3 linked regions of the Rattus norvegicus genome follow. The protein of the gene in region 3 interacts with the protein of the main gene of each other region in a pairwise test. Links are inferred from orthologs where the notes say so. Each region holds a gene or a part of one and is shown on either strand. Other genes may lie near its edges.

Region 1 (4,150 bases), on a different chromosome or scaffold from region 3:
TTCTGGAATAGTTGAAGTCACCTGTGCTGTGGCACATTTAAATGGCTGCACAAAAAAACAGCATATGAAAAGGGGCTGGAGTTATGGTTCAACGGTCACCAACACTTGCTGAATCAGTAGTTTGTTACTGTTTTGTTTTTTGGTTGATTTGACAAAAGCTAGAGTTGTTTGGGTATCGAACCACAATTGAGAAACTGCCCCCACCAAATTGGCTTTTGGGCATTCTCTTGAACGACTGATGTAGACAGGGTGAGTGTTTCTGTTTTTTTGTGAAGGGGGGGTGTCTCCCCTGGGGAGACAGGAAATTCTGGGTTGTGTATCAGCTTGCACAAGCCATGAGACCTAAGGAAGTAAGCAATGGTTCCTCCATGGTTTTTGCTTAAATTCCTGGTCTGACATTATTCAGTGGCTGATTGTCACCTATAAGATCAAGTAAACCTTCATCCCCAAGTGGCTTTTGGTCATGGTATTTTTACCTCAGCAAAAGAAAACCTAAGATAACGGCGGGGCCCACATCAGACCGTATCTCCAGCTTCCAAGATCTCATGACATGTCAGCTGGTACATTCCCACACGCATACGCATGATATTTTCTTTGTTTTAAATTACGAGCTATAGTATTAGTTCTCCAATTATCATGAAAGGCATCCTCAAATATTCTCTTCCCAGCAGTGAACTACTGACCAACGCCACTGAGTTTCCTCTACCAAAGGATGAGTCCATTGAACCCATACTTCATTCTGCTCAGAGCATAGATAGGGAAGCCTTCCCTTTCCTCGCTCCTGAGAGGCGATGTGACCTAGACTCGTGGTTGTCACTCACCACACACCCCCTAAGCTAGCAGCAAGCGCTACCCTGTCCTTTGCCTGGTTTATGTCTCTGTGAGGAAAAATGGCTCACCTCCCTAAAAGTGCAGAAGATCAAGGGGAGGCGCAGGAGAAAAAAGGCGCAACACAGAGCTGAGGTTGGGGATGGCGAGAAGAACCAGAGACGGCCATCCCCCTCCCTAGCTCCCGCCGGCTCCCACGGCACAGGCCACGCGCGTCCCTGGCCGCTCCGCCGGAAGTCCCGCCTGCGTCTGAGGCTACAGCCGCGCGCCCTCCGGCCAGTGCCCGGGCACAGGCTCAGACTGAGCGCCTCGCGCTGTGAGCTCAGGAACATTAGAGACAACCTAGGCCACAGAACACCTCGCGAGCCCCTAAGAAGCGACATCCCGCACAGGTGGCTAGGCGAAAGGCGAAGGCCGAGCAGCGCCGGGGCCGCAGGTGGGACTTCCGCCTCGGAACCCGGAAGGGACCGCGCCGTCGCTGGTGGGAGTTGTAGTCCGGCCGTAGTTGGGGGGGCCCGCGGCTCATGCGCCGTGCACCGAGGCTTGTTTCACATCTGTAACAACAGGTGAATTGGGCTTTTTATTCTACCCTTTCGCGCCCCTTGAAGCAGCCTGCCACGGTCGGGGGTGGTCGGCGCGAGGAGGGGTCCCGAGTCCGGCTGGCGACCTGGCGGAGAGTGGGAAGGAGGAGCTGGCGAGCCTGAGGAGCAGGCCGGGCATCCTAGGCCTGCCCGGGAAGCCGGCCGGGCCGAGCCGTGGGCAGTCAGGCCTCGGCCTGCCGTTGCCATGGAGCCGGGGCGGGGCGGGGGCCAGACCGGTCCGCCGGGGCGGGCCTCGCTGCTAGGGGCTCCGCGGAGGCAGAGAGAGGCGGCTTCATTGGCTCGACGACGCCTTCGCCTCAGGGGATGCTCGGTTTTCCCCTGGCTGGGCCCGGAGGAAGTCTCTCGAGTGCCCGAGACCTTTGTCTGCCCCTCCTCCCACTGTGCGGTCAGGACCGTTCCTCCGAAGGGAGGCCTGGTGCATTTTTTACTCTTCTGGTTTGCCTCCTTTTGCACCGACCTTGTCAGTGGGGGAGTCTAAGGGGTGAGGTGTTCTTTGTTTGCTAGTGACTTGTCCCATTTTGCAGGGGAAGACCTAATGCATGGTGGGTCCTTTGTTTGCAGTGAAGTGGAATCCCAGGGGTCCCGAGAACCCTCAAGCCAAGAGTACTGCATCTATGGGCTTTCTAGATAGTCCTTGTGTAAGCAAGTTTGGTGTTTTAATTGCGGCTTTCCAATGCAGAGACTGTTCACCTTACAACCTCCAGTTCATGGGTGCTTGCCATGCACGGTAGCAGGTAGACTGCAGCAGTCCAGTTGCAAGGTCTCAACTTGTTTTTGGGTGCATCCTACTGGCCAGAGTAAAATTACACATTTTCTGATGATTTTCCTTGTAACGGTTTCTTGGAAGGCATTGACCTCACTGCCATGTGCCATGCAACTTTTGACTACATTTATAATTTATACTTAAATCTTAGAGTCTGACATTTCCAAACCGGGGGACTGTTTCCTGATTTTATATGTTATTATTTAGATTTATGATAACGCTTTTTGCTTGTACATTTATAAATTCTTTGCCAAGGTTTATATCTATGTAGTACCCCACCTGACACCCAAAGATCTTAACTTTTCAGTATTTTAATTTATGAAGCTATAGTCCAAAAGTTTTATCAGCTTTTGGACCCCACTCATTCTTTCAAGGAATGAACATGTTACATGTAGAATACAGGTTGATATGTAAGGAAAGTAGTGTAATATAAACATGTAAAAACATGGGAGTCAGAATTCCATTTTGTCCTGATGCTTTGGGATCCTGGGTAAATTATGTTTGTGCTTCAGTTTGTTTCTTGGGGAGAGGATACTCTCCATAGGGCAGCTTCAGGGATTATATGAGGTCAAGTCTTTGTAAACTGTGAAAAGGTTTCTGGGATTTTTGAGATTGTAAATTTCCCAGAGTGGAAGTGTCATTTTCGATAGATAGGTATTTTAACCACTATGGGATTAGAAAAGTGAAGGAAGGGGCTTTGCTCTGGGCTCGGGGAAAATGTCCTTAACATTTCCTTAAGGATGCTCTATGGCACAATTCACATTTGGTATGTCTAGAACAGGTCAGGGACTCTTGAGTGAGTCCACTGTGTGAAAGCCTGTTAAAGTTAGTACATTGATTTCTATGCTTGGTATAGTTTTGCATCTGAGTGAAGGTCACCACTCCAGTGAACTTGCCTTGTTATTTTCCAGGAGGCCCAGCCTCGTGATGAGGAATAGCAAGGAGAGAATTCAGCTCCAGTTCGAAAGCCTGCAAAATCTGAGCCCCTCACTGCTTTTATAAGGTAAGGTGACTTATCCCTGCTCATAGAGCCATGGTATGCATTTTGCTCAGCCACACCGTAAAGCATGTAGTTAGCTCCTTTTGTGGTCCTCTAAGGCGTATTGTTCATTATTAGTGGCTTGGAGACATCACGTAAGCAGTGTACTAGAAGTTCTGTTTTCTCACAAAAGAGATTTTGACATACTACAATTTTATGCATCTCTATAAATTATATTAAACTGAATCAAAATTTTTTTAAGATTTATTATTATAAATCTTAAAATCAAAACTGAATCAATTTTTTTAAGATTTATTATTATAAATGTGGCTGTCTCCAGACATAGAAGAAGAGGGCATCAGATCCCATTACAGATAGTTGTGAGCCACCGTGTGATTGCTGGGAATTGAACGCAGGACCTCTGGAAAAGCAGCCAGTGCTCTTAACCTCTGAGCTACCTCTCCAGCCCTGAATCTAATATTTTAAGAAACATTACCATATTATAAGAGAAGCACATTTCTTCTGGATCTCTGCGAAATGTTCTAGAACACAATAAAATGAAATGATTTGATACCTTGAATCTCATATTTTTTGAGATGAAGACAGGGAAGACTGTGGTATATGAAACTTTGTTGACAAGAGAGGATCCAGAGACTTTAAAAGCAAAACTCTTCTAGGTATGGTGACTCCTGTCTGTAATTCTAGCACTTGGCAGCTAAGATAAGAGGGTTCCTTTGAGTTTAATCACAGTCTGGGCTACAGAGTGAGTTCTAGACTAGACTGAATAACAGAGTGAAACTTTATCTAAAAACACCCTAAAAATGAAAACCAAATTTAAAACAAAACCCAAGGGGCTAGAGAGATGGCTCAGTGGTTAAGAGCACTGACTGTTCTTCCAGAGGTCCTGAGTTCCAATCCCAGCAACCACATGGTGGCTCACAACCATCTGTAATAGGATCTGATGCCCTCTTCTGGTGT
Region 2 (4,163 bases), about 150 Mb from region 3:
CCAGGGCTCCTCTCCACCTCCTCAGAGCAAATGCTTTGACAACTGACAGACTCCTATCCTGCCTCAGCATATGCCTGCACTCAATAAAAATAAATGTATAAAAATCAGTAACAGACATGACCATCTCATCCCACATAGATAAACTCTGATTCCCACGTTTCCATATACATATGTTCATATAATATTTTTAACACGAGATAGCCCCATACATATAATTCCACAATCTCTTCTTCCAGTCCATTATATATATATATATATACATATATATATACATATATATATATACACATATATATATACATATATATATATATATATATACATATATATAAACTTCCTTTAATGGTGACTAACAGCCGTTGGAGGAGCTATAAGTTAATTAGTTCCTGCTCCTCTTTCTTCCCCATTACAGACAGAACTGCAACAAACATGTTAGACCACACGGGCACAGGGCTCTGGGCATTCTGGGTAAGTAACCCAGTCACACCATCACGGAGATGAAGCTGTCAGACCAAGCTACCACCAACTACCTCCACAGAGGCTGCAGCAGCGTGTGCCCACTGTCTGAGAGGACAACAGGAAGGGCTACGTGGAGCCTTCCGCTCTTCCACAGCAGAGCTTTGTACTTGACAGCCCACTCGGTGAGAAGCAGCCATTGCCAGGGGCCCGGCTGATAGCCTAACTCTGCGGACACTGCTAACCAACTCCAGCCACTCACCCATCACAAAAATGGCAAAATGAGGCTTCCAGGTAGTGGCACTTCTGTATCCCCAAGTCCCCACAGGAGACCAGGCCAGGGCAATGGGAGCCTCTTCAAGTGCTCCTCACTCCCTCCTCAGCAAGAGGCCTTCATCAGGTGTCTGCACTGCCCCTGCCACTGCTGGGAGACCAAGAGGGGTGGCCCTCTGCGGCTCTCCCCTCTGCAGCTCCTAGAAGTGGAGTCCAGCATCCCCACTGAACTGTAGCACATCTTACCATGGCTGCCATGCAAACGGACGGTGGTAACAGCCGACCCCCATGCAAACGGACGGTGGTAACAGCCGACCCGTGCGCACCCTCGGCGTCAGAGTGCACCACAGTGCCCTGGTGGCCACCCCTGGAGCTAGGGACTATTTCTCCCTGAAGGTGGGACCCCCCAGGTTCAGAAGTCCCAGCAAATCACAAATGACCTGACTGGAAACGGCAAGTGACCCTGACGGTTGTGTTACGCCCCCAATCTACAGCACCCCTCACAAACAGTATTTTTTGTTGTTTCTGTTTGAGATGGTGTCTCGCCATGTAGCCCGGGCTAGCCTGGAATTCACTATGCAGACCAGGCTAGCCTCCAACTTGTAACGATATGACCGGCTCTGCCTCCTGAGAGCCAGGGTTAAAGGCGTGCTCCACTCTCCCTGGCTGCAAACTGTTTAAATAGCCCAGGACCCAGTAGCAAGCTCCAACGGGAGGCTTTTGCCTCTGGAGCTCCTCCCCAGACTCGGCTTCCTCCCTGACACACACAGAGACGCAGGGAGCACAGAAGGCTCACCATCTGAGGAGCTTGTGCAGGCCAAGTGCCTGCTGTCTCTCTAGAGACGCATGGCTCGGGACTTCAGTCTCCTAAGGCTGTAGCTGCTAAGCTACATTCTCCTAACATGGAGCACACAGGGCCCTACCCCAACCTAGTGGTTCTCCGGGGACAGGTCTCAGTCACTGCACACATTCCCTTGGGGATATGGTTATCCAAAGAAATGCTACTTACCGAGCAGCTCAAAGGCCCAGCCAAACAAAGGCAAGCAGCAAAGAGCACAGAGTCACAGACACCTGTCCATACTCCTTACCCCCAGAGCTCCCTCTACACGGCCACGCCTGCGTCCCACAGAGCAGAGGGTGCAGGGCGCCCTGACAGCCCAGCCCCCCACCATCAACGTCCTCCCCAGTAACCTCCTCCTGCAGCTAGCTCACCTCTTTGGGTCTTGCTGGTCCTGCTTGTTGGCCCATCCTGTCCCGTCCTTGGGAACTATCACGATGTTGGGGTCGTTTCCTTTGTTTTCAGACTTCAGGCTTGGCAGGTTTGCAGGCGGTGGCATACGCCGGGCTGTGGCAACTTTCCCGAGACTCTGTAAGCCATGTCTAGGAATAACTGCAAGGAAAAGAACATGGGAGAGAGCACACACCTCACGGGAGGAGAGAGGCCAAAACACACACCACTGCGCGGGCTGAGGAGAAAAACAAAAGCCAAGCTAAGACAAGCATGGTAGTCGCTCCAGCCTCCGCCAGCTCCTCCCCCAGACTACAGACAAAAGACTGCGGGCATCTGCACTCTACCTTGGCAGGAAAGAGCTGGAGGAGCTCTTGCCAGGAAGGAGTCAGGCCCAGGAAGCTCAGCCCACAGTGACCACCCCCTGCACCATGACATGGTCCTGGCTGCGCCCCTAGAACCCCTAGGAAGGCCTTGTGGGTGGCGACAAATCCTACATGAACTTGTTCCACCAGGGTCCAAAAGTCAGACCCAGGAAAGTAAGAGGGGTGAGGCTATGTCACCCCTGCTGCCTGCCCACACTGACTAGTCTTCAGGGACACATGTGCCTGGCCGGGCCTGGCCATCTTACAAGGGAAGGAAGCGGGTGAGCATACAAGGGGCCTTCGCCGGGCCTTACCTGAGGATCTGACTGCGCCTACTGACCTCCCTTTATACTTGTCAAACAGGCTGAGAGTCGAGTACTTGCTTTTCCCATCCTTGCCCTGGGTTATTTGCCCCAAACGATCGGACATTGCGATGAAATGTCATCTAGTAAGGAAATTTTTCTCGGCACCGCTCCCGATTTGCCTTTGAAATGGAAAAGAGGAGGTCAGTCACCAAGTGGACAATACAGAGGATCGAATCCCTCAGGAAGAGAGGACATCCTGAAGGTGAAAGGACAGCCATGGACTCTCCCGAGGCAAAAGCCCTCAGCGTTTACCCACAGGTGCTCGCTCCAGGCCGCCGGCTCTGCAGATAGCCTGGGCTACCACACCCACACTCAAGCCATGCTGGTGAGACAAGCTGGAGAATGCTGCCGTGCCACACTGTGAATAGATTTTGACACACTCCGTCACTCTCCAAATCCAGGACAACTCTTTTAAGAGGAAACAACACTCCTGACTTCCAGCTCTTACCAAAGGCAGCAAGTTAGCCTGAGGGAGGAGCACAGCCCGCCGGAGCCACAGATCAAGGGAAACGCACCCCAGCAAGTGACCTGGGACCAAGGACAGCATGGGCCAGGGAGAGTCAGCACCTGGAGAACAGCAGCCATGCAACAGAGCGGGGTGGCTGTGAGAAGCTGTACCAGCACCTCCCCTCCACGAAGACAAAACCTCAAAAAGACTGGAAGCTTCTACCTTCCAATATGCCTACCAGCACTCTCCTTGTCTGCTCTTTAACTCACCCGTTCATCCATCCATCCACTCATTCCAACACTAAATGCCTGTCTACCATCGGTGAGCTCTGTGCTCAGTGAAACCAAGACCGAGACCAACCTTCCCCACCTTCTTCCCGCTCTACACCAGCCCTGAGTAGAGATGCTGAACTTGGCTGTGCAAGGGCCATGACTTCCTAACCCCGAAGCAAAGTATGGAATAAAAAGCAAGAGTATCCACCGAGTATCACAGTCACATGTCCTTCATGGCCTCACAGGATGTCTAGGAAAAGGGAGAAGGAGGAGACAGCTGTCACAGCGAATCTGCCATCCTGTGACTCTGTCCTGAAGCTACCTGGGCCAGGAGAACACATCAGTGTTCCTGGGAGGCATGTGGAGCCCAATAAGATGGGTGTCTGGGACAGATCCGCACACCACGACCTTAGACTATGAAGCACGAGAAGCAACACTCGATTACGACAGCTGAGACAGAGTCACTGATGCCACATCTTTGTCTCCTGACGCATCAGAGGCGCAGGTGGCAGCTCGGGCACAAACCATGAAGACTGGCCAGGTGCTGCAGGAGTGTGCGAACACAGTGTGTACCAGGAAATGCCCTGAAGAACTTCAGGTGAGCCAGGAGGTGGGGGTGCACACCTTTAATCCCAGCACTCAAAGACAGGCAGGTGAAGCTCTGTGAGTTCCAGGACAGCCAGGGCTACACAGTAAAATCAAAGTGGGGGGAATGCATGTGGGAGCTGCAGATACAGCTTAGTGCAATAAAGACAT
Region 3 (3,945 bases):
AAAGACAGGAGATTCCCAAAATAACTTAGACTTAGCCACACTGGCAAGCTCTGGGTTTAAGAGACCCTGCATCACTGAATAAGGCAGAAGGTGACAAAAGATTATTCCTGACCTCAACATCACATCTGTATATGCATTCCATCCCCCATCTGCATACTAGCATCAGGTCAGCATATCTATTCCACCACCCCCCATTCGCACACCTAGTCAGCCACACAGACCTGTGCCTGTATATACATACACATGAACACAGAAGGAGTTTCATGGTGCCAAAGGTAAGAAATCCTGATCATAAGGTGCTCATTCTGTGCTTTATACATGCCCTTTCCAATGCCAATCTCCCAACAGGCCTGAGAGCAGGATTTTTTTTTTTTTTAAGATTTATTTATTGTATATAAGTCCACTGTAGCTGTCTTTGGACACACCAGAAGAGGGCATCAGATCTCATTACAGATGGCTGTGAACCACCATGTGGTTGCTGGGATTTGAACTCAGGACCTCTGGAAGAGCAGTCAGTGTTCTTAACCACTGAGCTATCTCTCCAGCCTAGGATTTTTATTCATACAAAAGGAAGCTAAGAATCAGGGAAGGCAAGTCTCCTGATGTAGGAAGAACACAGAAAAGGAGTCTGCTGCACTGTCCAGTGCTTACCTACTCTCCTAGACCGTAACTCCAACCCTCTAGAGACAACATAAAGATGGCACAAGCAAAGCTTACGGGACCCACACAGTCCTATAAATCATAAGCACTCCACCACCAGCCCACAAATGCTAAGTCTGCCTGAACCCAACCTCCAGGGGATGCTCTCCTACAGAGAGAAGACCATCTTCACCACTCAGGCCCAGGCCCAAAGGAAGACCTGCACAAAGCAAATCTTCAAGACCACCTATCAGTTCTAATACTTCCCAGCCTGTCTCTTTGCTGTGTGGGATGGAAAAGTAGACATATTATAGTAAACCTATTACAAGCATATTTTTAAATAAAAATTACACTAATAAAATAAACTCACCGGATTGGACTGTCCAGAAAGGTAGGGCTCAAAGTCATTGTCATGAACTGCATCCTTCTGATGCAAAGAACCATTTTGTACTAGAACAAAAAGTTGCAAGACATTATCTCCAAACTTTAAAAAAAATACTTTTAAGCATGGAAACCTTATTTTCATCAATTTCTGGTAGATATGATCTTCTTTCAAAATGGGTACACTCTCTATAGAGAGCTGATGCTTACATGACTAGTTAGAATGGCATTGAACAACTTTTCCTAAATTCCTTCTTTTAAGTAAAAATATAATCATAATTTGGTCAGATGTCATTTTGTTGCAATCAAAACAAAGGGCAAGAAACTTACAGCCAGACTTTGAGCCAGTCTCGTGATGGCTCCTCCCCCACCCGGAAGCGGGGGACTGAACCCAGGGCTTCCCCTAGGCCACGGGCTGATGCAGAAATCTACAGTGTCTCAGATCTACCTGTTCCAGGCAAACAGGACACACGCTTTAAAAGCCCAGTTACGCAGAGATCTGAGGGAAGGATGCTCGGTTGGAAAGGGCTGTAACCCAAGCTCACTATCATCTGATTCTCCACTTACTTTCCACTGTTACAGTGCACAGCCAGTAAAGGAAAGGAAAGGAATGGTAAATAAAGTGTTGGGCCTTTTCCAACCTTAAAACACGATGAACCATATTTGGTTACACCCAAGTAACAACAACACGCACTGGTTAAAAACAGTCTTTCAAAGATTTAGTGTCACTCTCGAGTTCTCACAAGAGTTTTGGAAGTTTATTACAAGCCAGAATTATCACAGGCGATAACAACAAACTTACAATGACTGTAACTAAGGGTGGAGGGCAGGGCCTCCCGGTCCACAGCTAGCTGGCTGACTCTCCTCCAGAGCCATCCACTACCTAGCAACAGAGGACCAGTCAGTCATTCAGCCCCGCTAACCTCTGCAAGGCCGTCTTATCACCACTTCTTTCCCCACCAGGTAACTGTTCTGGCAGAGTCATTAAGGAAATTGCAAAATATTATCTGAACTACTCCGGGTACGCCTTTATTTTTTTTTTTCTAGTTCCCCTCCAATCTGTCAAATACCCCGGAAATGGAAACTTTCATCTCCTCCAAGCTGACGGAGAAAACTAAGTTTCGGATCCCAGGCCGGCTTGGTGGACTTTCTCTTGTCCACACGGGCTGGCGCTGCCCCGTTCTCCTCCAAAGTCCGGAAGACTTCCCGGAACTCTCCTCACCTTTATTCTCTTGTCCTTTTGTTCTCTGCATCGCCGCAGGCCAGGATATGCGGGTGGACACCACCCAGCCCGGGAAAGGAAACACAAAGTTACTATGCGAAGAATGCTACCCGGAGGGCTTTGCGACCCCGGCCCGGCCTCCAGATCTCCCATAATTTGATCACAGCCAAGCCAAGCGACCCCGCCATCCGACCCCAGAACTCCAGCCCGGCCTGGTATGCAGATCTTCGGCCCTGAGATCCAAGCCCTGACCCGGCCTCCCTGTTCCAGCCCGGACCCCGCACCCTAACCCCAGCCCAGTCTCCAGGTCCCCAGCGCGACCCAGACCGCAACCTCTGTTTTGCCTTGTCCACGGTCTGGTCTCGTGACCGTGGTCCCGAGACGCCCCTACCTGGGGGTCCACGCTGGTGGCCGACATGCTTCATGAACAGCGCGGCGCGGGACCCCGGCGCCGCCGGCTCGGGCCTCCCGCGAGGCCGGGCCTGTCACGCCGCGCGCGGTCCCGTGCCCCGCCACCAACTCCACGGGCGCGGCCGGGCGCGGCGGCAGCTGTAGGCACGCAGGCCGGAACAGCGGGAAACAGCGGAAGGTAGCGGACAGGCTGAGGGGGCGCCGACTCCAATGGCGGCCGCGGCGGCTGGGACGAAGCTGCGCGACGTCAGCGCGCGGGGCAGGCCGGGAGCGCCGTCAAGTCGCCACTACCGCGCCTGCGCATCGTCGCTCCTTGCCCAGGATTTCGCGCTTGGGACTCAGTCTCGCGCTGGAGGGGCGGGACCAGACCGGATGGGGCGGGGCGATCAGGGAGTCACGTGCGGCTCCTGGGGCGGCGCCTATTGGGGAGAAGGTGGGAGTTTGTAGCTAAGCTACACCTGTCCCAGAGTTTTGTGGCTGCTGGGCTGACCTATCCAATCTGGGCCTGACCGGAGCGTGCCAGTGTGTGACCAATGTTCACGTTAGGTTCTGTACCCGATTCCATCACCCAGAGTAAAAAACAAGAGGACTTTGAGGAAAGCTAGGCGTCCCCCTTTGGGTTCCACGTGGGGAGAGCTCAGTTGGTCCCTCAGAGTCTCCAACAAAGAACTCACTCCATTAGTCATTCACTTTCAGGCAAGCTCTTTGCTCAGGGAACTCGCTACCCCCCCCCCCCACACACACACAAAATAAAACAAATCTTTTGAATATAAGCTTTAAAAGATTAATTTTATTTTATGTGTATGAGTGTTTTGCCTGCGTGTATGTCTATGCACCACATGTGTGCCTGGTGCTCAGGGAGGCCAGAGGAGGGTGCCCCAGAACTGGAGTTATAGATGGTTCGGACCCCAAAGTGGATGCTAAGAATTAACCTAGATCCTCTGAAAGAGCAGCAAATGCTCTAATGTCCTGAGCCATCTCTCTAGCCCTTTTAATTTAATACATACATTTATGTATGAGTGTTTTCCTTGCACGTATATATGTGCACTATGTATGTGCCTGGTGCGGGTGAAGTTCAGAAAAGGTGTCTGATTGCCTAGAACTGGAATAACAGGCAAATCGTGAGCCATCATATGACTGCAAGAACACTGCTAGGGACCAACACCCAGATGCATCCACACATCCATTCTGGGGAGAGTTTGGTCCCTGGATTTGTTGGAGTAAATGTCCTAGCTTCTGATACACATTGTCAGTAAGAGGACACCAGAGGGAGGCACCTGCAGGTGGATCAC

The links.
Region 1: the proteins of Ythdf1 (region 3) and Dhx30 interact in a two-hybrid assay, tested with the Homo sapiens proteins (2 studies listed by BioGRID, with this or other methods). The link is inferred for Rattus norvegicus from reciprocal best matches to the Homo sapiens genes YTHDF1 and DHX30.
Region 2: the proteins of Ythdf1 (region 3) and Prrc2b interact in a two-hybrid assay, tested with the Homo sapiens proteins (2 studies listed by BioGRID, with this or other methods). The link is inferred for Rattus norvegicus from reciprocal best matches to the Homo sapiens genes YTHDF1 and PRRC2B.

The regions. Positions count from the first base shown.
Region 1 is NC_086026.1:118,972,458-118,976,607, reverse strand, and holds the start of Dhx30 (ATP-dependent RNA helicase DHX30), read left to right. Parts: upstream 1-1,344; 5' UTR 1,345-1,394; intron 1,395-1,479; exon of another isoform or gene 1,480-1,911; intron 1,912-1,950; exon of another isoform or gene 1,951-2,068; intron 2,069-3,104; 5' UTR 3,105-3,196; intron 3,197-4,150.
Region 2 is NC_086021.1:35,861,694-35,865,856, reverse strand, and holds the start of Prrc2b (protein PRRC2B), read right to left. Parts: upstream 2,807-4,163; 5' UTR 2,752-2,806; coding exon 2,637-2,751; intron 2,120-2,636; coding exon 1,942-2,119; intron 1-1,941.
Region 3 is NC_086021.1:188,414,937-188,418,881, forward strand, and holds the start of Ythdf1 (YTH domain-containing family protein 1), read right to left. Parts: upstream 2,805-3,945; 5' UTR 2,661-2,804; coding exon 2,634-2,660; intron 2,268-2,633; coding exon 2,243-2,267; intron 1,090-2,242; coding exon 1,010-1,089; intron 1-1,009.